Elephas maximus indicus: one gene and its partners. The protein of the gene in region 2 purifies or fractionates together with the protein of the main gene of each other region. This does not show direct contact. Links are inferred from orthologs where the notes say so. Each region holds a gene or a part of one and is shown on either strand. Other genes may lie near its edges.

What was found.
Region 1: the proteins of SUGT1 (region 2) and CEP97 purify together in Homo sapiens (affinity purification with mass spectrometry; 3 studies listed by BioGRID and IntAct, with this or other methods). This does not show direct contact. The link is inferred for Elephas maximus indicus from reciprocal best matches to the Homo sapiens genes SUGT1 and CEP97.
Region 3: the proteins of SUGT1 (region 2) and PHLPP1 purify together in Homo sapiens (affinity purification with mass spectrometry; 5 studies listed by BioGRID and IntAct, with this or other methods). This does not show direct contact. The link is inferred for Elephas maximus indicus from reciprocal best matches to the Homo sapiens genes SUGT1 and PHLPP1.
Region 4: the proteins of SUGT1 (region 2) and NOD1 purify together in Homo sapiens (affinity purification with western blotting; 3 studies listed by BioGRID and IntAct, with this or other methods). This does not show direct contact. The link is inferred for Elephas maximus indicus from reciprocal best matches to the Homo sapiens genes SUGT1 and NOD1.

What each region holds. Positions count from the first base shown.
Region 1 is NC_064836.1:72,577,831-72,585,680, reverse strand, and holds the start of CEP97 (centrosomal protein of 97 kDa), read right to left. Parts: upstream 3,005-7,850; 5' UTR 2,943-3,004; coding exon 2,900-2,942; intron 378-2,899; coding exon 235-377; intron 1-234. UniProt on the Homo sapiens protein: Acts as a key negative regulator of ciliogenesis in collaboration with CCP110 by capping the mother centriole thereby preventing cilia formation. Required for recruitment of CCP110 to the centrosome.
Region 2 is NC_064832.1:40,446,085-40,453,400, reverse strand, and holds the start of SUGT1 (protein SGT1 homolog), read right to left. Parts: upstream 3,021-7,316; 5' UTR 2,868-3,020; coding exon 2,830-2,867; intron 2,749-2,829; coding exon 2,691-2,748; intron 1-2,690. UniProt on the Homo sapiens protein: May play a role in ubiquitination and subsequent proteasomal degradation of target proteins.
Region 3 is NC_064829.1:71,052,395-71,060,192, reverse strand, and holds the start of PHLPP1 (PH domain leucine-rich repeat-containing protein phosphatase 1), read right to left. Parts: upstream 3,016-7,798; 5' UTR 2,936-3,015; coding exon 1,714-2,935; intron 1-1,713. UniProt on the Homo sapiens protein: Protein phosphatase involved in regulation of Akt and PKC signaling.
Region 4 is NC_064826.1:91,809,784-91,816,741, reverse strand, and holds the start of NOD1 (nucleotide-binding oligomerization domain-containing protein 1), read left to right. Parts: upstream 1-3,937; 5' UTR 3,938-4,081; intron 4,082-6,958. UniProt on the Homo sapiens protein: Pattern recognition receptor (PRR) that detects bacterial peptidoglycan fragments and other danger signals and thus participates in both innate and adaptive immune responses.

The DNA of each region.
Region 1 (7,850 bases), on a different chromosome or scaffold from region 2:
CAACATTTTGCCAACATAAAATGTTTTCTTTTTTTAACAATTCTTCTTTTTCTAGTCCACCCTAGATGTAGTACATACGTTTTCATCATTATGAGAAACTGGTAAGTAAAAATTCAAGACATTTACTGCTTCCCAGGCCTGCAGAGTTATCTTCTATTTGGTGATTTTATTGTTTTGTTTTGTTTAATAATAAACTGGTCCTGTGTAACTATTTCCCCAGAGAATAACACTTACCTGTATTAATCGTCTGCATTTCTCAAGATTTTCCAGTTTAATAATCTGGTTTTTATCCAGAATCAAAGTATGGATATCAGCTTCACAGGGCAAGTTTAGACCTAATTTCTGTAGTCCTTGCCCTGACCAATTGACTACTGAACCTTGAAAAAGAGAAGGGACATTGTTGGAAAACACAAATAAAGCAAATACAACAGCTGAACACAAGGATGAAATTATACTTGCGAAAAACCTATACATTTAGAGTCAGAAAACACTGTTGTTGCTGCTCCGTGGGTCAAGTTGATTCTGATTCATATGAGTAGGATGTCAAGATTCTAAAAGTAAGCCCATCTTGAGTTCAAAATGACCAGACTGAAATTATTCACTTTTCCTTAGAAATAAAACAGTACAACTAGATTTGTGATTTTCTGTTCAAGTTTCTATAACACTTTGGAATTCTGCACATTTATATATGAACTATTACATCTATATGTTATAACTAAATAATAGCTTTTTAAAAAATGAAGTGAAGTTTTTATAAAGATCAACCTGCTTATAACCTAACTTCCAGCATATTACCCAGAACTCAAACTATTTTGAAAACTATAGTTCGGTTCTCTCAGGAAAAAGGCAGCCAAGACAAAGGCTATTAACCAAAAGAAGCCTTTTACTAAGCAAAAGCCTCACCAGCCTTCTTTTTACTCCATAAATGCCTTTGCGCATACTGAGCCAAAATTGCTTTCCTTTCACATTTGGAAGACTATATGGATTATGATCCAAACCAGAACCATTTTCACAGTGAAAGGTGATGCTAAAAATCATATTGTCATATACTGAAATACTGATTCTTAAATTGGTTTTATTTGTGGGCCTATTCCAAAACTATTTTCAAAAATAAAAGTATTTCTTAAAATATAAAAACAACACACCTTGTACATTAAAGCAAAAAAAACTTAACTATATTATTTACACATTAAAAATAAAATTAGCAGAATATATTATCTAAATATTCTACAATATAAATATTAGTTTTGTTGTTCAAGTACTTTAATCATTCAAGTACTTTTTTTTAATTCAAGTACTTTAATCAGTTTTCTTAGCCATATTTCTTTCTACAAATGTGTCCCTAGTGTTTTTTCAGAGGAATATACTTCTTCAATATGGCTTTGTTATTATTGTTATCATAAACTTGTCTGTAAACTTCAAAGTTGCATTTAATCTGAAATTTTTGACAACTTCAAAAAAAAAGTATAGTTAATTCATCTCTAAAATGAGGACAATACACCGATTTCACTAGGTTGTATTAAAAGAGAAGCCATGTGACAAACACTTAGTCCTGTTCCTGGCCCACAAACCATACAGCATTCAATAAAGTAATATAACAGAACGTTCAAATCCTGGCTCCATCGGGTTACTCCACTGTGATATCTTGGGCAAGTTACTTCTTTTGGGCTCACTTGTCTACTCGGTAAAATGGTGATGATAATACCTGCCTTATCATGTAGTTCTACACAAAATGAGATAATGTAACAAAAGCACTTGGAACATCCTCTGGCTCATAAAAATTGCTCTATAAATGTTAACTGCTATTACTGTCAGTAAATTGCCTGGGTGGGCAGAGAAGGTGGAGTTTAACAGAAGTAGATAGCAGTGGGGGGCGGGGCCAGAGAAACTTGTAATTTCAAATTTATACCCAGATTAGGACTGCGAGAAATAATTACGCTAAGATTGCTCCCTGGAAGGTTTCAACGTTTTTCCGCGTCTAAAATGGCGCTTAGCATTTGGGGGGTCATGGACTCCTCTGGGAATCTGATGCAAGCTATGTACTGTCCCAGAAAATGCCCACTCTTTGTTTGCACACCATTCCGAGGGGTTTGCCAGACCTCTTAGAACCATCGGGTCACCTCCCCCCCGCCCCGAACAATTTACAGGTCCCAAATAACGAGCCCCTGGTCTAAGCCCTGGAGATGGGTCCCGACTCCCTGCCCTGACCCCGATCCAAACGGCTGCTGAGGAGCCTCGGAGCGGTAACCAAAACAAAGGAGCTCAGCTCACGCCTTGCGCCCCAAAGAGGTACCTCCCGGCCACAGAGGCACCCACCCCCCGAGCTCTGTTGAGCGGCGACCAAATCCGTTCCCAGGACCCCGTATGCGTAAGGAGGGGTGGGAAACTGGGGGCTCTGGATCACCCCCTCCCCCCCATGTTATCACGGCCACCGTTCCCTTCTAAGGAGGGGTTCAACGTCAGTGTAGGAAAAGGTGTTCCGTGCAGTTTCCTGAACGTTCTAGAAACCGAAGGGAAAGAGGGACATGGCAGCGAAAAAGGAGATCCTGCCAATTTCATTCGCGGCCCCGAAACACAAAGCAAACGTCCAGGAAAAGACACCGCAGCCCCAAACCCACCAACCCCCCGCCCCGGCAGCACGGGAGCCGAGGTGCGCGCGCGCGCGAAGGCCCCTGGGGTCAGTAGTCCCTCGCTTGGCCCTCGCCGGGAGGCCGGAGGGCTGGACAGTGCCTGGTGACTACAACTCCCAGAAGGCAGCGCGCCTCCGCGACGCCCACAGCCGCGCATCAAAAGACCTGGTCCAGAACTGTACAGCTAAACCCGGGCTTCCCCTCTCCACCAGACAACTATTTAATTTGGCTCGGTAAAGTTTGGGACCCAGAGGTAGGGACCGCCTTACCTTCTCCCGAAGGCAAAGCCGCATCGACGCGCGCCACCGCCATACTTCCCGCTTGCTAATAATACCAGGCAACCGTCCTGCGGCCACTCCTGTGGAGCTTGTAGGCAGGAGGAGGGAGCCGGAAACTACAACTCCCAGGATGCACAGCACCCAGAAGACCTAATTGGCTGTTTAAACTTAACGGAGTGAACCCAGGGATTAGAAACTGACCTGTAATGAGCTCCGGAACACTGGTCCACTCCCTCATTTGACAGATGAGCAAACTGCATTATTGGATAATCATTTCATGCCCCTTTTCTAGGTGTTAGCGAAATTTGATACTTTTACCATCGGGATGATTATAAAGAAGCTACTTAATGTAGTCTGAACTTGAGAGCTCGCAGAAGTCTTGTGGGGACAGTCCCCACTATAGGAACGACTTCAGCTGTCTTATGATAGTCAAATAGATACATTTTATAAGAATTTAGCTAAGTAAAAGGATTTAAAGCATATCGAGATAGAAACTTTTTTACAGTATTTTTGAGCGGTTGTTTTCGAGTATTTAACAGAACTTCTGACCTGGAGGTACATTTAATAAGTATGAACCCAGAATTTTTCCAGGAAGTATTCGAAAGAAATTTGAAATGTATATAGTCTCCAAACTGAAGAATTACACTGCCTATGGGGGTCGCAATGAGTCAAAATCGACTCGGGGGCAACCGGTAGTTGGAGGGGGGTTGGCTCACACTTTTATTAGAATTGTTCCTTGCTAAATGGTTTTAAATGGTATGCTTGAACTAGGAACTCAATAAGGTTGTGGCGAAGGACAACTATAATCTTCAGGGAAGATTTGATGGAGGAAGTGAAATCGATCTAGGATTTAAACGTTGAGTAGATGGTTTTTGGGTAGAATCTGAAGTCAAGAAGTAGACAGTTGAAAAAACATGCACATAGGCTGCAGGTGGCCATGAAGCTGTGCTCATAGGAAGTGAGAAACTAACCTGACAGCACCATAGACTATATTAAGGGAGCTTCCACTTTCTACTACTAACTCACTCACTCCCTCTTTTAATCTTTATTCTGATCTCATCTTTTCCTGAAACTGTAATCTCCAAAGTCTCTGATAATTTCTCTTTGGGAAAATCCAGTAACTCATCCTTTTAGATTTCCAGGCACTTGATTCTATAAGCATTCCCTCCTTCCTTGGTTCTCCTCCTATCTGACTGCACCTGCCTTCACTGTTTTTGCTTTTACTGTTTCGTACTGTTTTAGTCTGAAGACAAATGTCCTAGTTCTGAAGAGGAAATTGAGTAGGATTTTTTTTTCCCCTGTAACCTAGAGACCCTTTACCTAGAGAGCACAGACTTACTATATATGAATACAGCAAGCCTCAGTGCTGCCTCCTTTTAACTCTTGTTCCCTGGAATGAGCAGTAAGGATTGAGGAGAGTCTCTAGCCCAAAGAGAGAGGGTTTACAATTCACTCCACTTTAGAGGCTAACGACTTGGGAGAGGAGTTCCTGCAAGTCTGGAGGGTACTTGAAGAGCACAGGATCCCACAAGTTTACAGCAATAACTGAAGCAGAGTTTTGATCGGTTCATCTGCTCTGGTGTTCTGAGCAAAGAGCCAAAGGACTCCTTTTCTGGGGCTAACCAATTATAATCATTAATCTTGAAGAGAGTGAACAGGTGTTCCCAGGGGCAGATTACCCAGTAAGCAAGGTAAGCATGGGCTTATTTGTGCTTACAAATAATTTTTTTTTTTAAATTGGTCACTACAAATTACCAAATAAGCACAAATAAGCCCATGCTTACCTTGCTTACTGGGTGAACTGTCCTTGTGAGGGACTGTAAATTTGAAAAGAGGCCTTGATTCTCTAAGAAGGTGCTGTGAGTTTGAGAGAAGGACAGATTCCAGCCATAACTAGAAACAAAAACTGTTTACAGATGATATAGTAAGCAAGGTAAGAACAGAGCTTACCTTGCCTATTGGATAATCCACCCCGGGTGTTCCTGAGCAAGGCCCCATGTGCCCAAGTGACCCAGCCACCCTTTAAAGTGACAGCACAGAAACTCTTTTGTACTTCAGATACAGCTTTTACATCAAAAATCAAATTACTACACTTAAACTAAATTGCATTGTCTTCTATATATGTTAACACTTACAAGCCCCAACCAATTTAGGAGATTCTAATAACCAACACCACTATGAACCCCTTGGCAAGGTAGCATTTCTTTGACAGGCCCAGGCCCACAAGGAAGACTTTCCTTTTTGCCAGCACAGCATACCTGATCCCTGCTACAGCTGATCGCCTGACTCGTCTCCCCCATCTCTAATTCATCCTGCCCACTGTTACTGGCATGATCAAGGTAAAACAATACCTTTCATCATGTTACTCTTTTCCTCAAACATATCCCACTTGAAATTCAACTTCCAAAAACCACCATAATCTGGCCTCACCCTATTTCCCACTGCTAGTTTTCATTAGGTGTTTTTGAGTGAGGGATTGACATAATGAAACTTGTGTTTTAGAAGGGTTAAACTGATCGTGTAGCAGGATGGACAAGAAGGTACAGACAATCGTGGCAGGAAGGAGACTGTTGTAATGGTGAGTGGTAACCTTCAACAAAGCAGCTTCAGTGGAGTGTTGGGACATAAGTTAGGTAAGATGAATATAAGAGAGGAGGAAGGCAGGGTACTGAAACCACAGGTTTGGACAGTGCAGTTTACCTTGTCGAAATAAAGGTGGTTTTCTAATCAGGATGAGAACTTGCATGTGAAAGAAGTATAATAATAACTTCGGAGTTTTTAAGTTTTAAAACTAGGATATTATTAATATGAAGAATTTTATCATTGTAAAGCTTTTGAAAATGTGCCAGTTTTTCTTACAGTAAAAAAAAATCCTTATTTATGCAAAAGTTTAGGTGGATAAAATTGAACATTTTCTTCTCTGGTTAGTATTTATTGGTAGCCTTTTATGGTTTGGCTTCCTTATCTATGATCTCCTGAACGGAAGGAGTTATTGCCACTATGAAATGTCTATCTATGGGTTATCTACCCGTCGCCGTCAAGTTGATTCCAACTCATAGTGACCTATAGGACGGAGTAGAACTGCCCCATAGGGTTTCCAAGGCTGTAATCTTTACAGAAGCGAACTGCCACATCTTTCTTCCGTGGAGCAGCTGGTGGGCTCCAACCGTAGACCTTTTGGTTAGCAGCCAGGCATTTTAACCACTGTGCCACCAGAGCTCCGCAGGTTATCTAGAAGCCCCAAATGAGTATTCAATTTCCTAATATTATTATCATAATTATGATTTATCTTTTTTTATGTGCTAGGCTTTGTAATACCTATGTTGCATATATTACCTCTAATTTTCACAAAATCACTGCAAGAAGATCCCAAGAAGTTAGGGTTGCCAGCTGTTTAATATGAGTATCCTTAAAGCCACTCACCTATGGTATTTCTGTTACAGCACTAGGAAACTAAGACACAGTGTTTTGCAGATCTCAATGCAAGGGAAGAAAAGTTTCCATATTTCAAAATCCATTTAACTGTGCAATTGAGGAGCTTTTACCTAACATTCAATTGGAAGTGATTAATCCGATATGCTAACAAAGCAATCAAGAGAATAGTCGAATTCTGTAATTGCCTTCCAAGAGATTAATGTGTTCGATTAAAAGTATATCCCTTGAATTGACATCAGAATTGGGCGGTACTGTGTGAAGATGAAGGGTATAGGACCTCCTCACAGCTCAGGATCAACAGATGAACATTTGCAACCCATTTTGATGATAAAAAATAATAATAATAATAGGGAATAATAATTTTGAACCCCAATTAAGCAAAATGTTACTCACCACTCCAAAAAAAGAATTTTCTTCTCGTTGGCATACCAGGATTACAAAAATATATTTATGTTATATTGCAAATATGTTTACATATAATACATCATAATATCGATGTCTAATTTCATCAATGACAATTTTGTGGAAATTATTTTCTCTTATTAAATAAGTACCTATGTGATATTCTTGATTTCGCCACTTAGCCTGCAAAGCCTAAAGTATTTCCTATCTGGCCCTTTACAGAAAACATTTTCTGAGCCCTGTTCCGTTGTTAGCTGCTGTCAGTCTGCTCAGACTCACGGCGACCTTGTGTATAACAGAAGGAAACGTTGCCTGGTCCTGCACCATCCTCACGATCATTGGTGTGTTTAAATCCATTGTTGCAGCTATCATGTCAGTCCATGTCATTGAGGGCTTCCCTTGTTTTCAGTGGTTCTCTACTTTACCATGATGTCCTTGTTTAGTGCTTGGTCCTTCCTGATGACGTATCCAGAGTAAGTGAGTCAAAGTCTCACCATTCTTGCTTGTAAGGAGCATTCTGGTTGTATTTCTTCCAAGACTGATTTGTTCGTTTTTTTGGCAGTCTGAGGTATATTCAGTACTCCTCACCGATACCGCAGTTCAAACCCATCAATTCTTCTGTCTTCTTTTTTCATTATCCAATTTTCAATGCGTAGGAGGCTTTTGAAAAGACCATGGCTTTAGTTATCAAAGTGACAACTTTACTTTTTAAAACTTTAAAGAGGTGCTTTGCAGCAGCTTTACCCAAATCAGTATGTTACTGTGTTTGATTTCTTGACTGTTGCTTCTGTGGACGTTTACTGTTGATCTAAGTAGAATGAGATCTTTAACAGCTTTGGTTTCTTCTATAGGAAGTAAAATCTGAGTAGGAGTTAGCCAGTGGGAGGAAGGAAAGCTTTCTAGCCAAGAGGACAGCTTGGGCACATGAGCAAGAACCAATAGGGTATGTCAAAAAACTTAAAATAACAGTTATGTGCTTTGTTCCCTTCACCTTTGTGAGCCAATCAGTAATACCAGTTTCTTCCAGAAGATGGCTCCCTTTATTTTACTATGAAAAATTTCTGTCAGAAAAGTTGGCCAACTTGGTGAACACCTGTATACCCCA
Region 2 (7,316 bases):
GGACGATATGGCACGTGTGGCTAAATGCCTCTATAAACAACTGCCTCCTTGAACTGGATGGTGCCCAGCTACCATTAACTGAATGTTCTGAGCAAAGATTGCACAGACAAATCCTCATCAAAAGGGGGAAAAGGCAGAACAGGATTTCAAATTTTCATGGACTCTGGACTTTCTGGAGCCATAAAGTTTCCACGAACCCCTGCAACTACCACCCTGAGATAATCTTTAAACCTCAAACCAAAAATATCCCCTGAAGTTTTCTTCAAACCAAAGAAGAGTTTAACTATTAAAAAATGTCTGCCTTGAGCATTATGCTCTTCTAGGAACTAGGTATATGCAATCAAGCTGACAACAGCAACTTGAAAGAGCCCCCTAAGAGGGGCTGTGAGTTTATGTCAATAAGGGAGGAACAACTCAGAAAATGGGGGTGAGAATGGTTGCACAACTTGAAGAATGTAATCAACGTCACTGAACCACATATGTAGAAATGGTTGAATCGGTGTATGTTTTGTTGAGTATATTCTCAACAACAAATTTTAAAAGAAGTAAAACAAGATGAAAACAAACAAACAAAAAAAAGAACCCATTGCTATCGCGACGATTCTGACTCATGGTGACCCCATGTGTTACAGAGTGTAACTGCTTCAAGCAAGATGGAAAATGATAGTGAAATTCATTAAAAGCAATTTCTAAGTAACCTGATTTCCATAGGAAGCCATGCACCTAAGAGGACCATAACAAATACAGATTCCAAAAACTAATAGCTGTCCAACTAATACAAGAACTGTGGTGATAAACTCTCAGTACCACCTGTAACATTATTCCAATACGGATTCCTGAAGCCTCCCTGTGAAACATTATAACACAACAGACTAATCAATCACCTAGTTTCAAGGTCGTTATGTAGAAATTCAAGCAATCCTTGACCTAAAAAGCCCTAAGATACCTATCCCCTGGTTTCCTCTGCAACCTCATCTCTTCTTTCGTTCCACTCTTGTCAATGGGCCTTTTTGCTGTTCCTTGTACAGGCCAAAGGAGACCTGGTGGTGCACTGGTCAAAGCACTTGGCTGCTAACCAAAAGGTTGGTGGTTCGAACCCACCAGCCACTCCATGAGAAAAAGAGGTGGCAGTCTGTTCTATTCTGTCCTACATGATTGCTATAAGCCAGAATGCACTCAACAACAGTGGGTTTGGTTTGGTACAGGCCGACTTTATTCCTACCTCAGGATCTTTGCATTGACTGTTCTTCCTGCCTCGAATGCTCTTTCACCAGAGCTTTCAAGTTCACTACCTCATTCCTTCAAGTCTCTGCTCAAATGTCACCTCCTCAGAGAGGACCTAGTGACCACCTACATGGTAAATTCTTTTCAGAAGTCATAGCTAGGAAAGAGGCTCTCTTGCCTCAAATTGCTAACATTGCTTAAGTTAGACTACAGCAATGTAATAAAGTTTCCTTTTATTTGTGGATGACAAGAAACTCCCAGCTAAATTTTGTCATACATTGCATCGGGTAGCCTTAGCTTGTGTTCTCTTTTATCATTATTTAATTCTTGCTTCTTTACAGCTGCACATCGTCTTCCATTGCACAGAGACAGCTTTGTAAGCAAGTCTATGCTTAGCACACAGCAGCGCCCCCCACCCCCCACCGCCAAAAAAAAAAATGAGATGTATAGAAAAAAGAATGACAAGGTGTTATGGATTGAATTGTGTCCCCCAAAATATGTGCTGGGGTCCTAACCCCTATCCCTGTGGATGTAACCCTCTTTGTAAACACCGTTTTATGTTAACAAGACCGTATCAGTGTAAAGTTTGTCCTAAACCTAACGACTTCTAACTTACAACTGGGGCTACAGAAGCTGAAGAGTCCTAATAGTGCAGTGGATAAGCCTCAGCTGCTAGCCGAAAGGTCAGCAGTTGGAACCCTCCAGTCACTCTGAGGGAGAGATGTGGCAGTCTACCTCTGTAAAGATCACAGCCTTGGAAACCCTATGGGACAGTTCTACTCTGTCATACTGGGTCGCTATGACTCGGAATCCACGGGATAGCAATGTGTACAGAAGCTGAAACAAGGATCTCCCCCAGAACTAAGAGAGAGGTTTCCCCTGTAGCCAGTGTCCTGAATTTGGGCTTCTAGCCTTCTGAACTGTAAAAAAAAAAAAATAATAAACGTCTGTTCTTTAAATCCACCTACGCGTGATATTTCCGTTACAGCAGCACCAAAAAACTAAGACACAGGACATCTCGAAAATTCTAGGGACAAAGACAAAATTTTTGTGAGTTCATAAAGGCCCTTAACGATGCCTGGTACGTAATAATACAAAAAAAAGAGTGTCAAATCAAAAACCGTAACAAGTTATTTCACCAAGCCCACATCTCACTCTTCCAACCACACATGACAAAAATTTTTTTAGACCACCAGGATAAAACAGGAGAGAAAATATACTTTCTAGGAAGCTGCGGAGATGCAGGCAATCTAGGAATGGGACGGCCGAGGAGAGGGCCTGGGACACCGGAGCCACTGTGGGGACAGAGAAAGGAGAGACTGAGGCTCTCAATATTGGAGCTGAGACACAGTAAAAACAGCAACCCCCGCCCAAGGAAGACAGTGCTAGGAAGGGGCGGAGTCGGCCAGAAACCAACGCGCCCGGTTCTCCAAAGCAAAGTCGAAAAGGCAGAGAACGGCTCTCACCTCTAACGCCGCCTGTGGGTCCTTGTCGATCAGAGCATCTGAGAGGCTCCGGAAAAACCTGCCAGGAAAACAACGACTTCAGCAGGACAGACAACCAAGAAAAGGACGCTCAAAAAAAAGTAAAAAAAAATACACATACCTCTGAGGTGTTGCAGGTCCTGCAGCAGCCGCCGCCATCCCTAGGAGTTACTATTACTCTGAAAACCAAGGATACCAGCTCCACCGCCGCCCTGCGAGGAAACTTCTGGAGAAACACCAAACGAGCTTCCGTCCTTAGTAGCCAACGAGCAGCCACGCAGCGTGCGGCTAGCGGGGAGGGAGGCAAAAAGCGGGCTCGGGGCGGCTGGGATCTTGGAGGACCGATTCCTCCCGGCCCGCCCCCCGGGTCTCGTGACCTAAGCACGCCCAGTTCCCTCCCCTCCCCGCCCCTCGTAGCCATGGTTACGGAGAAGCCTCGGGTATGCACGTTCGCACTTTGTTACACCACGAAGACTGCCCGCACTTTCTAATAGAACCTTCAGGGGTGGTGACTAAAAAGTAGCCTTGTAACGTACTGCTTGCTATCCCTCAAAAAACTGTAGCTGTAGCGTTTGGAGGCGTTTCTAAGTCTATGACTAATACAAGCTACATTGATCTCCTTTATCATGGCTACCGCACGCAGTCGAGCCGCTCGTAACCCATGACGTTATCTCGTTTCCGCCTATTCTTTTCCGGAGCTGAGTTTCCGGATGGCGCGTCCATTCTAGGAACGTTGCTCCGGAAACTGTAACCGGGTGGAACTCGCCGGAAGTTGCTCTGCACTAACAGAAGCTAGAAAAGGAGGAGGTTTTTGGTTCCTGCCTTAAGTTGTCCCGGTGCGGGTATACAGTTCCACTCTCAAAACGCCAGCAGCCCAGGCATTCTTCTGCTCGGTTCCTCAAACTGAGAAATTTTCCCATCCTAAGTCTCTGAGGAGGGGAACGTAGCCTGAGGCAGTGTGCTGGTTTGCTTTCCAGCCTAGTAGGTCCGGCAGGCCTTCTCCACTGCTCTTTAATTCCTGCAAAACTGATGAGAAGCTTCCAGCAAGTTCCACGGGACAGGAGAGGGAAGTGGAATGGCTTAGTAAGAGTTAAACAAGTAACTGAACTTGCTGAGTGTCTACAACATACAAAATCTAAACTAAGCTCTGGGATTCAAAGATGGTAATGCTTTCAAGAGGCTTAAACCAATTCTGTTCTCAGTGCGAATATGAAAGGAGCATAGTCGTATCATAGCCTGGAGGGGCACTTAGCCGAATATGAGGTATACGAATAGCTTCCTCAAAGATGTGATGCCTGAGCTCAGCCTTGAAGGATGACTGAGAGTCGATGAACGAAGTGGGAAGGGCGGTTAAGACAGAAGAAATAGGACTTGTGTTTGAAAACGATAATATGAGCTCTGAAATTGGTAGGGTCAAAAATTATGGAAAAACCAGACAGTGTAACTGGAGAGGTAGGTAAGTGCCAAGTCATAAAGGGCCAGGTCTGATATGTTTAACCTGAACGTGACTTTTTTTAGTGTTAACCCGTTATAGGATTTTTAATCAAGAAGTAATAACAGATTTGCCTTTTTAAAGTACATTAGTCTGTATACTGGAAGAATGACTAAAGGGAAAAAGAACACTTGTTGGGAGACAGCTGTAATACAGGCCAAAGAAGAGACTGAAATACTTCAGTGATTGTAGGAATGGTCAGGAGGGTGTGAATTCCAGAAATGTGTGGGGTAATTGAAACTAATTGGGCTTGCCTAATAAATTGGGAGGGAAGCAAGTTTTTGGTTTGGGTAATTGGTGAAAGATGATAACGATTAGCTGAATTAGAAAACTGAAAAGGAGAAACACTTGTGAGGAAAAGTCAATGAGTTTTATTTGGGATATATTGAGTTTAAGGTACTTCTAAGGTTCCCAGCGGACACTTGGACATACTACCAAAACACAGTATTAAGAGAATGAAAAGGCAGCTAAGAGGGCTTTGCCTACTCCAAAATCATGAAGCTATTCTGTTTTCTTGAATAAAGTTTCTAGAACTTTATTTTAACTTTTACATTCAGGTTTATGATCTATCTCAAATATGGTCTATCTCAGTTGACCCAGCCCTGTTTATTGGAAAGACTGTCATTTCCCCACGAAATTCCTATGGCACCTTTGTTGGAGATGCCCATATATATGTGGGTTTATTTTCAGGTTCTCCATTTCATTGATCTAGTTGTCTAACCTTGCACCAATACTCCACTGTCTTAAGTTAATGTAGCTTAAAAAATTTTTTTGTGTGTGGGGATTTTAATCGAGCTTGCATTGAATCTATAGATCTGTTTGGGGAAGGCTGACATCAACACTGAATTCTCCAATCCATGAATACCGTATACTCCCTCACTTATTTAAGTGGTCTTTAATTTCTCTCAGCAATGTTTTATAGATTGCAATGTGACTATCTCATTAATTAATACGTTTCATTAGATTTATTCTTGGGGTTTTTAGTGCTATTTTAAAGAACATTTTAAAATTACTTTCTACTTATTCGTTGCTGGTATTTAGCAACCCTGTTGATTTTTGCATGTTGTGTTGTTGTTAGGTGCCCTCAAGTTGATTTAAACTCATAGCAACCCCTTGTAACAGAGTAGAAGTGCCCCATGGGGTTTTCTAGGCTGTAGTCTTTACTGAAGCAGATTGTCAGGTCTGTCTCCGAAGGAACTGCTGGGTGAGTTCAAACCACCAACCTTTTGGTTAGCAGCTGAGCGCTGACCCTTGCACCACCAGGACTCCTTAATTTTTTTTTTAACTAGCCATATATTTAGTCATCTTGCTGATTTTCCTTATTTCTGATACTTTGTAGATTCTTTTTGAAATTTCTATGATCATAATCTTGTCATCTGTGAATAAAGATAGTTTAACTTCGTCCTGTGCAGTCTTTATACCTTTTATTTCTGTTTCATGCCTTCTGTCACTGGGTAGGATGTCCACTACAGTGTTGAATAGAATTGGTGATAATGGACCCCATGTCTGTATCAGAGTAGAATTGTGCTCCATAGGGTTTTCAATGGCTAAATTTTTGGTAGCTTGCCAGGCCTTTCTTGCGAGGCACCTCTGGTTGTAACATCAGGGAGAAAGCATGCAATATCCAATGCTTTTTCTATCTTTATTGGAATGTTAATATTTTTTATTAATGTGTTAATGTGAATTACATTGTTTTCAGATGTTACCTAAATGGCCAATATGGGTATGAAATGAAGTTCCACATCAATAGCTGTATCAGGGAAATTAAAATCACAGGATACTAAACATTACCACCAGAATAGCTAAAATTAAAAGACTTCCAATACCAAGTGTTGACAAGGATATAGACAAACAATAACTTTTATATATTGTTGGTGAGCATGTGAATTGGTATAACCATGTTAGAAAACCATTCTGCACTATCCACTAAAGCTAGTCATACATATACCCTATTAAGATACACACAGTAATTCTTCTGTGGGGTATGTTTTCAGATAAAAGAGTACTATGTTCACCAAAAAGCATGCCAAAGAATGATCATTGCAGCATTTTTCACAGTAGCAGAAGCTGGAAGTAAATATTCATAAGAGAATGAATAAATTGGGCTATAATCACAAAATAGAATGCTACATAGCAATTAATAAGAATGAACTACCACTAACAATATGGATGAATTGCATATAATGTTGAGTGAAAGAAACTATAGACAGTATATCATGACCAATTTCTTTATATGAAGATAAAAATCTATATTGAGAGACGTCAGTGGGGGATCTCAAGACTGGCAGGGGGCATGAGGAGACTTTTTGGGATGCTAGAAATATGTATCCTAATGCAGGTGATAATTACACCATTGTATTCATATGTAAAAACTTACCAAGCTATACCCTTAAGATCTGTATACTTTACAAAAATTAAACTTCAATGATAGGGAAAAAATATTTAAAATAAAATCAGCAAACAAGAATTTGACATTTTAAAAACTATGCTATTTACAATAGTATGAAAAAATATTAAATACTTAAATGTAAATCTGACAAAAGATGTGTAGACCTGTACATTTTAAACTATAAAACATTGCTGAAATTAAAGAATACTTAATTGAGAGCTGCACTCTGCTCATGGTCAGAGGATGCAATATTAAGATGTCAGTTCTTTCCAAATTGCCTATAAATTCACCACAATCCCAATCAAAATCGAGACTTTTTCTTTTAGAAATTGACAAACTAATTCTAAAATTCAAACAAATATGTCAAAGACTTACCCATTGCTGTCAGCTCCAATTCGTGGAGACCCCATGTATGTATCTACATAGAGTTTTCAGTGGCTGATTTTTCCGTAGACCACTAGGCCTTTCTTCCAAGGTACCTCTGGGTGGGCTTGAACTTCCAACCTTTTAGTTAGCAGCTGAGTGTTTAACCGTTTGCAACACCAAGGGACTCATTTGCGGAATTAACACTACTTGTTTTCAAGACTTATCAACCTTGTATTGGCACAAACACAAATCAATAGAAAATAGAGAGTCCAGAAATATATCCATTTGTATATGTACAACTGATTTTTGAGAAAGATGTAAAGAGAATTTAGTGGAGAAAGGATAGTTTTTCAACAAATAG
Region 3 (7,798 bases), on a different chromosome or scaffold from region 2:
GTTTCTCATTCTCCTGTTAACAAAATAAACATGCTCCTTCCAAGTGTGATTACAATGAAATGCTTTTGTAAAAGTAACGTTTTACAAATTACATGAGCTACATATAACTGTTGATCCTATATTAAAAATCACCCATTTTCTGGGTCATAAACTTTAAAAGGCATGCCATCCAGCTGAGATATGAGATTCACATAGTGCAAATGCTATTATATTATGATTTGATTTTCTTCATAAGGCAGAAATCCACTGAAGAATTTCAGAACAACTTCAATGAAACTTAAATGAACATTTCACCAGGAATGCTACAAGTTTTGCATATTTCAGCGTGGGAGTAAAGGTCTAGTCATTCCAACTGACTAAACTGGTACAAGGGCACAAGTGGGACCAAAAAAACATACTAAATTTGAAAGAATGGCTACAGCCTAATGGAGTTACAAAGGTGATCATTTTCTCACCATCACCTACACCCCAGAATAAGTAAAGGTGGAGATTTAACCCTCCTCTTTCAATTTTGCTGTGCTAACTTATTTTAAATGAAAAATCCTTCTCACTAAGAGCACCGTTCTTCAATCCAAAGAAAGGAAAGGGTCCAAACAACTTACAAAGCTCAAATATAACAACTAGGACCCACAGCTCCCTAATTTAGTGCCACTCAAGTCTTTAGCCCAAAGAGAAACTTTACACTGGCTACCCATAATCAAGAATTTTATCTGAGACTGCAAAAACAATGGGGAGGATTTTAGGTCACATTCTTATCTGGAACCCTACTGCAAGCCATAAGGGGCCCTGCAATGGTTAAATGGCGCAATGGTTAAAATGTTTGGCTGCTAACGGAAAGGTCAGTGGTTCGAACCACCAGCCACTCCCTCAGAGAAAGATGTGGCAGTTGGCTTCCATAAAGATTACACCCTTGGAAACCCTATGGAACAGTTCCACTCTGTCCTATAGGGTTGGTATGAGTTGGAATGGGTTTGGTTTTGAGTTTATTGCAAGTCATATAGCAATGGTCAGTTCCGACGACAAAGCCTTGTAAAAAGAATGAGAAACACATAAAATCATTGTCGATGCAAGAATAAAATCTGCAATGGAAACTGAAAAACAAGCAAATACGTAATGGAGTTTAGAAGTATTACCAAAAAGGACCCTATTGGCTAGGTTTCTAATAAGGACTCGGGTGGGCAAACAAGCAGGGCAAAGAGCAGAACAAGTGCATCAGTTGACAAGGAAAAGCTGACGGTGGTGGATCCCTAGAGCGACAATACTAAACTGCCAACACGCAGGCCTAAGGAGGGTGTTCTGGAGTATTTCTGCTGCTTCTGTCAGTATTTATGTGCACATGATGGTTTCCCTGAAATCCCAAACTGTCTCAACCTCAACATGTCCACGAGGAGAGGCCTCAAGAAAGCACCTTTACTATTCAATGCTCTGTTGTCTATTTCAGGGGTATCCGCTTCCTGTACTTCCTGGTGACCTGCCACCTGCTCCACGTACTTTCCAACCTAGGAGCCCTCGAGGTTGACTCAAACTCACGGATTTAAAAATGGCTCAACTTAGTGTCACAAAGATTGTACTTGAAAGCTGTAGAAAAGTGACAACAAAGACTCAGCAGGACCTGTGTCCCCTTGGTTTGGGCAAAAAACGGCACATTTGGATCGTTTTTCGGTACGTAGCAGTGTTTACACCACACACGCCCCAGAGCAGGCGATCCCTTACCTGCATAGAAGCGGATGAGGCAGCCGATCTCCGAGTCCATGCCTTCCTCCTGCACCCTCCACAACTCCCCGAATCCCAGCTGGAAGAGGTAGTCATTTTGGATCTGCAGTGGCTTCTCGTCCGCCTCCAGCCGCCGGGTGGTCTCTCCGTGAAGCTGCACGTACAGGGTGGGCGGTGGGGTCGCCTTCTCCGCGGCCTCCTTTTCCTCCCGAGGCCGGTCGCCGCCCCTCGCGGCCCCGGGCTGCGGCGGCGGCGGGGAGGCCGTCGGGGACCGCGGCAGGGCGCGGCGCTCCGGCCCAGGCTGCGGGGAGCGGCGGTGGGGCGGGCCCGGGTCGGCCTCGAGCTCCTCGGACGACGACGAGGAGCCGCCGCCGCCGCCGCCGCCGGAGGGGTCCAGGCGATCAGCCACGCTCTCAGCGCTGGGGCTCAGGCTGAAGCTCTCCGCGTCGGAGGCCGCGCGCGCGACCGCGCCGTCCACGGCGCCCCCCGAGGGCAGCGGCAGGCGGGCGGGGGGCGTGCACGGCGGCTCGGTCCCCCTGCCCAGCACCTTCAGCACGCCGCCGCCGCCCTTGTGGCCCGGCTGGAGCAGGCGGGCGGCCACCTCGGCGGCCGTGGTGTCCAGCGTGCAGAGCACCGGGCGCAGGCCGGCGGCGGCCAGGTGGCGGTCGGAGACATGCACGCAACCCCGCCGCAGCTGCTGCCTCACCCAGTCGCGGTCCGACGGCTGCAGCTGGAGCGCCTGCCGGTGCCTGAGGAGCAGCGTCTTCCTGTCCAGGCTGCGGGTGCACAGCGACGCCGCGGCCGAGCAGGAGGCAGCCAGGCCGGCGGCGCCCGGCGAGCGCGAGACTGCCGCGGCCGACGACGACGAGGCGGCGGCGGCGGCCGCGGACAGATTCCTCTTGAGCCGCCCTCTCCTCAGCAGCAGGGAGTTGGCGCCGCTGGCCCCGGGCGCAAGGGGAGCCCCGCCGGCGGGGGCCTGGGGCGCCGCGCGCCGCCGCCTGCGCCCGGTGCAGCTCGCCCTGCCCGGCTGCGCATCTGTGGGAGCCTCCGCCCGCGCCCCTCTGCCGTGCCCCCCGCTCGAGGTCAGCGCGGGCTCCGGGCTCCGGCCGCCCCCGGCCGCCGCCACCAGAGCCGCCGCCGCCGCCGCTGCGGCCGCTGAAGCCGGAGCTCGGTCCTCCCGGCCGGGCTCGGGGAGGCGCTGCGCCGCGGCCGCGGTCTCCATTGCGATGGCGCTCGGCGTTTCCCCCCCAGCTCCGGAGGCGGCGGGCCGAGGGGGAGGCGGCGAGGCGAAGGCGGGAGCCGGCAGCGGCGCGGGGAGCAGCGCGAAGCCAATGGCGTTCGGCGCGGCCGTTCCGTGGGATTATGTGGCGACTCGGAGCATTCCGCCGGTGTCTCGGCGTTCCATCCCGCTCGCCCGCCAGCCGCCGCCGCCACACGCCCTCCCCGCCCCGGCCGCCGGCTCGGGGTGCAGGCCCCGCCTCCGCTCCGCCTCGCCCGGGCTAGCCAGCCGCGAAGCCTGGCTCATTGAATATGAATCACGCGCCGCGAGAGGGCCAGGGGCTCCCCCACTGGCCTTATGAATATGCATCGCCGACATTACGGCCTCCGGGGGAGAGCCAGGGTTGGCAGGGGCGGGGCTTCAAGGTAAACAAATGTGACGCGTGCGTAAGGATGAGGAGTCCGGTAGTTTCCCGGGGCTTCCAGACCCGGCCTGGTCGGCCACCGCCTCTGAGAGGGAGAGGGAGACAAGAGTGGCGCGCGATGTTATTTGGGAGTTGTAGTTCTAACCTGAGTACGGGCCTACCTAAGGGTGACAAGATGAACTACAAGCCCCAGCAATCCTTAGGTCCCGCCGCCCCTGGCCGCCCGACACTGGACAGTGGGTATTGTGCCCTCTGCTGTTGAGCTCTGTGGGGGAACGTTGATCGTGGCCGTTGTTTAACCTGTATGCCTTTTCAGCACAACTCCGGTCGCCAGGTGATTGTTATTTTCCCTGCGAATTGAAAGTGAGGGCTTTGAGGGACTCTCAGCTGTCGGAGGAAACCCTGGTGGTGTAGTGGTTAAGAACTACGGTTGCTAACCATAAGGGCGGTAGTTCAAATCTACCAGGAGCTCCTGGGAAACTCTATGGGGCGTTGACGTGGAGTGGATTCCGACTCGCAGCAGCCCTACAGGACAGAGTAGAACTGCCCCATAGAGTTTCCAAGGAGCACCTGGTAGATTCGAGCATAACTTGTAGCACCACAAAATAACTAACTGCCCATCAAAGTGGACCAGCCTCGCTTTGTCCCTCTTTTTCAAGGCCAGGGAAGAGAGTGTTTGAAAAGCCTAACTTGGACAATTGTTGAATGTACTTAGTGAAAATCGCGCAAACCCGACTCCATCTTACTCCACTCCTATATCTGACAAGAAAAAAAGGCTAGTTTCGTTTTCTCCCACTGATCTTGAAGTTTGAAGTTAGCTCAGTGACACAGAAAGCAATGGAAAGAGGAAGATACTAGATAGGCTGTTTCCATATTTTCTCTTACATCTTCTCTGTTCTGTTTTATTTTTTCCTTTAGACACTGAGGAAAAAAAATTTTTGTACTACTACAATATTTAGTTGTGGTCTGAAAAGTTGTGTTGTCTTAGTTTAAACAACTGTAAATTGGACTAAGACAGTTTACTACTTAAAGGAATTTAGTAAATCTTTTAAATTGAATTACCGTTTCCCTAGGTTGTTTTATAAATCTGGATTTTCACACGTGAGACTTTTAAATAGTTTTCAACTGTGTATTATCCCACGTATTAACTTCAATAAAGTTACTAAACTTGAGAGGAAGAAAGAAAGAATCAACTGGAACTTGAAGTTGAAATCACATAAATTGATGGGGGCAAAGAAAGTTGTATTTAGGTTATCCACAGAGTTTCACTGAAGTGGAATAAAGAAAGCTACCAGGACAAAAAATAAATATTTCCCTGAATGACTCTTGACATTCCTATATTTTTCTTTTAAAATCTTATGCCTTGGCCTCACAAAACTAATTTTTATTCCATTTAAATCCAATCAACAGCACAGTGTTCCATGTAAAAATTAAGGAGAATGCAAATTCCCGTGAGGGAGAACATATTCAAGTGAATTACTTTAACAAATAATTATAAGCATATATATGAGTTACAGCAGTTGAATAAGTCATACTGTCCCTACCGTCATAAAGCTTATAAATTAGAAATAAAGACATTCCACCAGTGAGACGGGTGTGGGGAAGGGGCAAATACAAGGTATTGTGAAAATAGGCGTAACACAAGGAAACTAACCTAATCAAGGAAGTCAGAGGATAGAGAGCTAACTTTGGGTGAAATTTGCTAGAGTGAATGAAACTGAGTAATTGCTGAAGGGTCGGTCTCCTAAAGAAGGAAAAGAGGCAGAGAAAGAGGTAATGATATGAAGATCAATTTCAGCTACACTTACCTAGACTTTGCCTTGAGTAATCCCTAGCACAAAGTATTCTAGAAATGGACAGAACAGTATTTTAACTTAGCTAGCCTTTAAAAAGATTAAAAACCAAAGCATGTATTAATTTTCAGTACTAAAGCACTGAATCTTTGTATTCATTAGTCCTTGAGTTGATTTCCTACAAACCTCTTAAGTTTTACTATATTAAGAAGTAAATATTAACTCCCATATATCACCTTTCTAGAGTTATACTTCTATAGCTAATGTAACAAGCTCAGAGAAAGTTTCTTCTAGTCATAAATTCAGTTGCCAATGGCTCAATGTCCATTAGCATCCTCTCTAAGAAATTACAGTACTGTACTTATTCTAGCTCTGGTTCCTGTCATTTAGTTTTACACAGTCAACACAACTATCTTCTTATCCTCTAAGAATTTTATTTATTGTTTGAAGGTATTTGTAGCCAAAACACCTTCTCCAAAGGGGGAGGTTGGAGCATTGCTCAGAGAACTTAGCATCAAAAGTATTGGAGAGGGGAGGGCTTGGAGGAGTCAGCATATACTCTAGAAGTAAAGATTTGATATGAGAAATTATTAAATTGGGGGGGGATAAAAAGGAAATATTGTTCAAGTATCTCAGCATGAAGAAAAAGGAAATACATTACCCCACTCAAAAAAAAAAAATGGTTATGGTGGGGCAAAGAAGATTGTAGAATGCAATTTTGCTAGGTTTCATGCATGGAGTTCATAATCTGAAAGATCCCAGATTCCGTTGTACCCAGGATAAGAAAAAGCAGAGTTGAGGGGAATGAAGAAGGGCAAGGGTCCACAATGTGATCCCTCCCTGTTTCATCCCCAAACCTTCAATGAAGTTACTATACTGGAAGATAAGGGTAAACAGGAAGGGCAAATCTGCTGCAAAAGCAAAGATGTCACATTGAGGACTAAGGTGTGCCTGACCCAAGCCATGGTATCTTCAGTCACCTCATATCTTGTGAAAGCTAAACAATGAATAAGGAAGACTGAAGAAGAATTGATACATTTGGATTATGGTATTAGCAAAGAATATTGAATATACCATGGACTGCCAGAAGATCCAACAAACCTGTCTTGGAAGAAATACAGCCAGAATGCTCCTTAGATGCAGGAATGGCGAGACTTCGTCTTGTGTACTTTGGACATGTTATCAAGAGGAACCAGTCCCTGGAGAAGGACATCATGCTTGGTAAAGCAGAGGGTCAACGAAAAAGAGTAAGACCCTCAGTGAGATGGATTGACGCAGTGGCTGCAACAGTGGGCTCAAACATAGCAATGATTGTGAGGATGGTGCAGGACTCAGCAGTGTTTCATTTTGTCATTCATAGGGTACAGCATAAGTCAGAACCGACTCTATGGCATTCGACAAAAGCAAAGAGAAGACAACTTTTAACACCAGATTAACTGAAACCTTGTAGCTGAAATAGCAGAAATTGATAAGGGCAATGAAGCTGTTCTTAGAGCTTGCTGATATCGTGGCACATCATCCAGACCATCTGTGCAAGCCTACACTACACGACTTCTCTGAATAAGAAAGAATCAGCAAGGACAAACGTCTTCCAGACACCCATGGAATAGCAGCTTCTCCTCCTTAAAACAGAGTGGGGACTATGCCAGTATTCTGAAACCATGTAAGTCATGATTATCCCCTTTAAAGTGTTTCAAATGTACACTGTAATACCACGTTTCTGACTAGCCACCCTTTTCAAAGAATCACGTCTTAAGATGCTATAAAGATCATCTTGAAAAGAAACAGCAGATATAAAAGTTGCAAACCCCAATGCCAACTTGTTAAAATATTTTCACTGCTAAGTTTAGAAAAAAAACATCATTTTCAATTTACTGCCAGTTTACTTTATCCTGTGTGATTTATAATTGGCTTGCTGTATTCCGCGTCTAAGTTAATCCTGTTTGTATCCTTAGATCTAAGATAAAAGTAAACCATCTTTGGAATTTTTTTTTTCCTGAGATAAGCGGTTTGAGTTTTAATGGGAACATGAATTGATGGCTGGATGGTTTTACTCTAAATTGTTAAGGGCTCAGCTGTGTCCAGAAATAAACTTAGAAAGATGCAATATACGATGTAAAACATTTAGTTAGTACGTTATGAACAAGGGATCTAATTATAGTTTCACATTTTTATGTCCCTTGAGCTACTAGTGGTTTACCATGCCTAAATTGCTCACTATTTACTCATTCCGTTTTACTGTGAGGGACCCATTTAGCAAATTACTGCTCTAGTGCCCGAGATGGGCCCCAGGTGGCCAAACTGAATTAATCTGTTCTCTGCTCACTGGCAGGATAAAGTGCAAATTTATAATCTGCACTTTATCAGAGTTTAGCTTGCCACTGTCATCTTCCACTGGTGTTGAGTCAATTCTGACTTGATAGCTTTTCAGATTTTAGGGCACCCTTTTTTGTTTTAATTCCACAATTCTTTGCCTTTTTCTTATTTCTCACATCCTGCCTTCCAGGAGTAAATAGATGTTCTGTAAGTCACAATAATGACATTTTAGACCAAGCAATAGAGGCCATGTAGTCCACCCACTTCCCATTACAATATAGGTTACCAGGGACAGTCATACAAGTATGTGCAGGCTTCATTCACCAGCAGTAA
Region 4 (6,958 bases), on a different chromosome or scaffold from region 2:
TTTTTTTATTAACTTATTGAGCTTCAAGTGAACATTTACAAATCAAGTCAGACTGTCACATATAAGTTTATATACATCTTACCCCGTACTCCCACTTGCTCTCCCCCTAATGAGTCAGCCCTTCCAGTCTCTCCTTTCGTGACAATTTTGCCAGCTTCCAACTCTCTCTATCCTCCCATCCCCCCTCCAGACAGGAGATGCCAACATAGTCTCAAGTGACCACTTGATATAATTAGCTCACTCTTCATCAGCATCTCTCACCTACCCACTGTCCAGTCCCTTTCATGTCTGATGAGTTGTCTTCGGGGATGGTCCCTGTCCTGTGCCAACAGAAGGTTTGGGGACCATGACTGCCGGGATTCCTCTAGTCTCAGTCAGACCATTAAGTATGGTCTTTTTATGAGAATTTGGGTGCAGTTGCTTTTTTAGGAAACACTTAGGTGTAGATTTTATAAAACACGTGCAAGTCTTGTATCCTGAAAACTGCAGAACACCGATGAAAGAAATAAAAGGGTCTAAATAAATTGAGAGACATACCATATTCATGGATTGGAAGACTCAACATAGTAAAGAGGCCAATTCCCCTCAATTGATATAAAGGTTTAACTCAATTCCTATCAAAATTCCATCAAGGCTTATTGTAGATATAGACGATTTTTTCCTAAAATTTATATACAAAAGCAAAGGAACTAGAATAAGTAAAACAATTTTGAAAAAGAAAAAATGTAAGGAATCAGTCTACCCAATTGCAAGACTCTGTGACATTGGCAAAGGGATATACACATAGATCAATGGAACAGAACACAGACCCCAGAAACAGGCTCACACAAATATGCCCAAATGATTTTTGACAAAGGTTAGAAAGTAATAGAAGAAAAGTAGCTTTTTCAACAAATAGTGCTAGAGCAGTAATTGGACAGTCCTAGGTATATATTTTTTTTAGGTATATACCCCAAACAACTGTACTCAGATACGTGTACACATATATTCATAGCAGCCATGTTAACAATAGCCAAAAGATAGAAACAACTCAAATGTCCATCAATGGATGAATAGATGAACTGATTATAAAATGGAGTATTATTCAGCCATAAAAAAGGAATGAAGTCTGATACATGTTATAATGTAGATGAACCTCAAAAACATTATGTTAAGGGAAAGAACCCAGACATAAAAGTTCACATAGGACTATATGTTCGGTTATAAAGGGACAGCATGAAAGATCTTTGTAGTGATGGAAGTGTTCTGTATCTCGACTGTTACTGATGTGCATGTTCTGGTTGTGACATATTACAGTTTTGCAAGATGTTATCATTGGAGGAAATTGGGTAAAGGGTAAACAGGATCTTTGCATTAATTCTTACAACTGCATGAGAATTTAAAATTATCTCAAAATGAAAAGTTTAAACAAAAAACTTTTTTATGAAATATTTTATAAAAATAAAATGATGGAATCACAAATAATAAGAGACTATTAAAAATGACCAGGAAGCCACTGGGTGGTGCAAACAATTTAGTGCTTGACTACTAGAATAAGTAAAACAACTTTGAAAAAGAAGAATAGAATGTGAGGAATCAGGTTGGTGGTTCAGACCCACCCAGAGGGCCTCAGAAGCAGGGCTTTGAACCAGTTCAGTCATGGCTAATGAAATGAAACTGGAACAGATCCAAATTTTTACAATTTGGGTGATCTGGAATGATAACTGGAACTGGAAAAATTATGGGTCAAAGCCCTGAAATGGGAGACTCAGAGGAGGTGTAGTGAGCGCCTTCAGGAGCCTGATGTGTGAGACTGGAGTATTGGCAGGACTGTGGTAGTGATACACATTGAAAGCGGCAAGGCCGGCTGCCATCTTTGAGCAGGACACTGCTGTTTCCAACTCTGCTCAAAATCCAACTATCAAGAGATTTGGTTGCCGTGCAATGCAAACATGGCCTTTGTTTCCTAAGAGGGAGATTACCTTCTAGCAGGGTTTTGACTTGTAATTCCCGTTCAGTTTCACCAAAATTTTTACGAACTTTGAGTCTGTTACAGTTTTGCTTCCTCAGCCAAGATTGAACTAGGAAGAACCAGTTCAAAGACCTTCTTGGAAGACAGATCTGGCAATCTCCTTCCAAAAGGTCACAGCCTTGAAAACCCCATGGAGCACAGTTCTACTCTGCACACATGCGGTCGCCGTGAGTCGCAATTAACTCGATGGCAACTAACAACAACAGTACTAAACTCCAAAAGTGTCAGCAGAGCATAAAAATGACCAGGAAAACTAGAAATAAAGCAAAAATAAAAAAAAAATTATTAGAAAGTAAATATATCATTGATGAAACTAAGAATTTAAGTGGCTGGTGTTGGTTCTTATTGCTACTATAATAAATTACCACAAAGGTAGTTGCTTAAGACAACACAAATTTATCTTACAGTTCTAGAGGTCAGAAGTCTGAAAATGGGTCTCCCTGGGCTAAAATCAAAGTTTCAGTAGGACTGTGTTCCTTCTGGAGGCTTGCATTCCTCACAGAGGCTCTAGGGAAGAATCAGTATCCTTGCCTTTTCCAGTTTCTAAAGGCTGCCTGGATTCCTTGGCTCATGGCCCCCTTCCTCCATCTTCAAAGTCATCACTGTGGTGGAGTCCTTCTCAGGCTGCCATTTCTCTTGTTCCTTCTTCTGCCTACCTCTTCCATTTATACGGACCTTTGTGATTTTTTTTTGTGTGTGATTATATTGGCTCACCCTGTTAGTCTAGGTTAATGTCCCCAATCTCAAGGTAAGCTGATCAGCAACCTGAATTCTCCATTGCCATGTAACCTTATTCATACATTCTGGGCTTAGGGCATCTTTGGGGTTGGGGAGCATTATTCAGCCTATGGGTTAAACAGTAGGTTCAAATATCTACAAAATAATTAATGAACTAAAAGATAGAATTTAAGATATTACTCCAAATTGAGCCAGAGAAACAAGGAAATGGAAAATCTGTAAGAGGTTAAATAAAAGGTATGGAAGATAAAATTCAGAATCCTAGAAGAAAAATGTTTTTTATTTTTTCTATCAGAGGCTCATATAAGGGTAAACTGGGCGATATAGTATCTTTTGATTCTTTATTTTGGGGTTCGCAAGTTTGCACATTGCATACTATCAATTTCACTTTCAGTTATGAACAGTCTTTCCTTTTCTCAGAAGGCAGCCTTGGATGGGAAATCCAGTCTTCATGAGTATGAGTAATAATATGACTGAATGTACGTCTTTAGTGTGAATAAGTGAGTGAGCTTTTTGTACCATCTTTAGGCCTTATGTAGACTTCCACCATTTAGAACTTGAAAGGAAAAAAAAAAACTATTTTATTGGGGAAATTTATTAATACGCTTAAAAAAATATTTACAAGTCATTACAGTTTAATGTATAGAATATACAATATATCCTGCCGAGAACAGATTTAAGAGAGGAAGAAAAGTTTAGATTTTAAAAACTATAAATCGAAGCACATGTTTTGTTATAAAAAGATGATTTTTCTTAGCTAGTTTTCATCGGGGAGCCTGTGGTACGTCTGAATGTACCTGTGAGGAGCCGAGTTTCACGGTCCTGCCTAGGCGTTGGCTCTGGTTGCAAGTACTGGGCTGACATCTTTTGGGGGATGAGCCTGAGCTCGCGGCGGCCGCGGCCGAACTGGCTTGACGAGTTCCCACTGGGATTCCAAGTGTGTCACCTCTGGGCGAACTCCTGGGCCTGCCCGCACGTCCTGCGCGGTGCCGCTAGTCGTTCCAAATCCGGCACAAAGCACCTCTTAAGACTGCCGGAGGCAACTTTCTGCGCTCCGCCTCTCCCGCTCCCGGCGCAGGCCGGGCTTTCACCTCGGCGCAGCTGGCAGAGGCTCGGGGGTGTGGTCAGAGGGACTCGGGGGCAGCTCCCAGTCCCGCCAGTTCCCTTTCCGGGCCAGCAAGGCGGCCGCACTGGCCCTCCCCCTTGCGAAGCTGCTGGCGCGGCGCGTTCTGAGGCTTCGGCTCTCCCAGGCCTCTGCGCCCCAGGCTTGGCGCGCTCCCCGGCGTCCCTCGCTCTCCCAGCAACTGCGGGCTCTGCAAACCTGGCGGCCAAGTAAGCTCCAGCAAGTTAAGTCTCAGGGACTGTGGGGTGGAGGTAGGAGATGGGGGATTCGCGCTGGGCAAAAGTTTTCAGAGTTACTGGGCATGGAGAGCGAGGGCGCGCCCAGGGGGCGGGATCCTGCGAGCGGGCGGAATGCGACGCTGCTCTGGGAGAGGTCGGGTGGAACAAGGCAGAGACACCCGGAGTTTGAGGAATGCAGCGACAGTTCAGAAGGATAAACGTCGTCGTCAGTGGAGTCGTTCATTCTACTGTGGTCTAAGGCGGGGATTCTCAGCTGTGGCTATACCTTACAATCACCAGGAGCGCTTGTAAAATCTGGATGTCCAGCCGCAGCCCAGACCAGCTCCATCTGAATCTCTGGGAGTGGGACTCAGGCCTCTGCATTATTTAAAGCAACCCGACTGATCCCAATGTGCAGCCAGTCTGGGAGCCAGTAATCAAAGTGTGACCCCCGAGAGAAGGTGGAAAGGCAGGGCAGGGGCCTTGATTCGAGTCCAGCCTGAAGGCGCGTCGGCCGTTCCCAGCCTCTAGCTCGGCCCGGCCCTCGGGACTTGGGAGCAGACACACCCCCTGGGTTCCCAGGGAGCAAAGAAGGGGGATAGAACAATGTTTGACAGGGTCGCCTGAACATCATGTTCAAAACAAGCCCCAGATATGCACACAAACTTAAGGCACATTGTGAAAAACATAAGGAATGATGGATAGGTTAGGTTGCCACATTGTTTCTGCATGCTGGGAAACGCCTTGATTGTTGGCATTTGAAATTAAGTTGGTGGAAACCAGTAAACCCATGGCCTTGACAAGAGCTAGGCTTTCTATTTAAGGATGAAGGTAGAGGGTGTGCGTGCTGCAGGGTCAGGTTTACCCCTCCTTTTTAAAGTCCTGTGTTGAAGATATTCCACGTCCAGAGAACTCTACCATAAATTTTGGAGAGGTGTGGACATCACAGGGTGGACCCTCCCTGTGCCTAGATGCTGGGGGCAGATAGCTGTAATCCAGGCAAGCAGGGCCACCCGACAGACTATTACTACATATGCCAAGCAGCTAACACCCCCAAAAAACAAACCCATTGCTGTCAAGTCGATTCCCTCTCAGAGAGATCCTATAGGTCAGAGTAGAACTGCTCCATAGAGTTTCCAAGGAGCACCTGTTGGATTTGAACTGCCGACCTTTTGGTTAGCGGCCATAGCTCTTAACCACTATGCCACCAGGGTTTCCAAGCTGCTAGGAAAGGTGGATTTAAAACAACAGAAAAGTGCTAAGAGAGGACCTTGAAGGGTTTTGTTTTTGTGGAATGTAGGAATAAGATCAAGCTTTGCAGCCCTTCAAACTTGGGCCCATATTCGGATTCCATCACTTGTGAGTTCTATACGTGACCTCGAGTTAGTTACTTGACCTCTCCCAGCCTCCTCTTACGTGTAAAATGGGGATATAAGTAGTTAAGAGGCTAAGATAGGTAAATGAGATCATGTCTATCAAACTCCTCGCTGGCACGTGATGGCTGCTTTGTAAGCAGTAGCTTTCAGCCACAGGAGTGGTGATGTGTGTCTGACAATGTTTATTTAGTGCAGCCACTGTGAGGAGGAGTGTTTGCCCAGAAAATGCCTCCCTTGAAGCTCCATTCTCCTCGTCTCCTGTCTTGCAGCCTCCGCTCAGAGGAGGGCACCATAGTTTCTTCCTCTTCCAGCCTCTGGGTGCTTTGAGGTCTGGAATCTCAGTCCACTAAACTCACCGACTCATAGTGACCCTATAGGACAGAGTAGAACTGTCCCATAGGGTTTCCAAGGCTCTAATCTTTATGGGAGCAGACTGCCACAGCTTTCTCCCATGGAGCAGCTGGTGGGTTTGAACCACTGAACTTTTGGTTAGCAGTCAAGCACTTTAACCACTGCGCCACCAGGGGTAGCTTTTCCTTTTCTCCCATAACCCCTGGAGGGCTTGTTAATGGCTCTGGATACAGTTTCATCCCATGTGACAGGAATGGATTTCTTGATGAAAAAAATTGGCCCTTGTTCTTGAAACTCTCCACCCCACTGCGATGCATGTCAAAAAAATGGGCTCCCATGAAATCTAGGCTGTCTACAGGGTTTCCGAATTGATGTGGGCCCAGGTGGCACTCCTGCCGGCAGCTCCTCAGACCATGTCCTTTCTGTTTCTGTTTCCACTCATGTCTCTTGGCCTGAGGAGCAGTGAGAACTTCTGCAGTGACCAAGAACAGTCAGGAATCTGGGGAAGGAGGAACTCATCCTTCAATTGCTCATGCCCGTGCTCGGCTCAGCCGTTTACCCTGGTACCTGCCATGTGTGTCGTTGGCACTCATTAAGAGCTGCTTGGTCATTTTGATAGTAGCAGCAGCACTGATTAGATTAGACACTGGAAATGTAAACAGTGTAGTAATAAAGGTATAAAAAAAGTCAAGTGTTTTTACAATGTATGTGCAATAATCACTAATACTTAATATCAAAATCTTTTTAAAATCATTTTCATCAAAAGAAAAAAAGTTCCAAACTCTCTGTACTTGCTGTGTAGTTTTTCTGTGAAGCTAAAACTGCTCTACAAAAAAAGTCTGTGAAAACAAAAACAAGCAAACAGAAAGTTTGAATATTTGTTCAAAATCTAAGCCAACCTAGGATTTCAGGTCTAAGTTACCAGTTTCTTCTATGCTTCTTCCATTTTGGGGATTTTAGGCAGGATGGGGGGGTAGAAGCTGAAGTTTGTACTTGTGCTGAATTGCGTCATGCAGAAGCTGTAGGGATTTTCAAGTTTGCTAAAGTAGTGTTTTCCTTTATCTTCTGGAGAAAGTTGTGCTAAGGGCCTCCTTTCATTCTACCTCAAAAGCCTGAGCTTGTTTCTAGGAATACTCCTCTT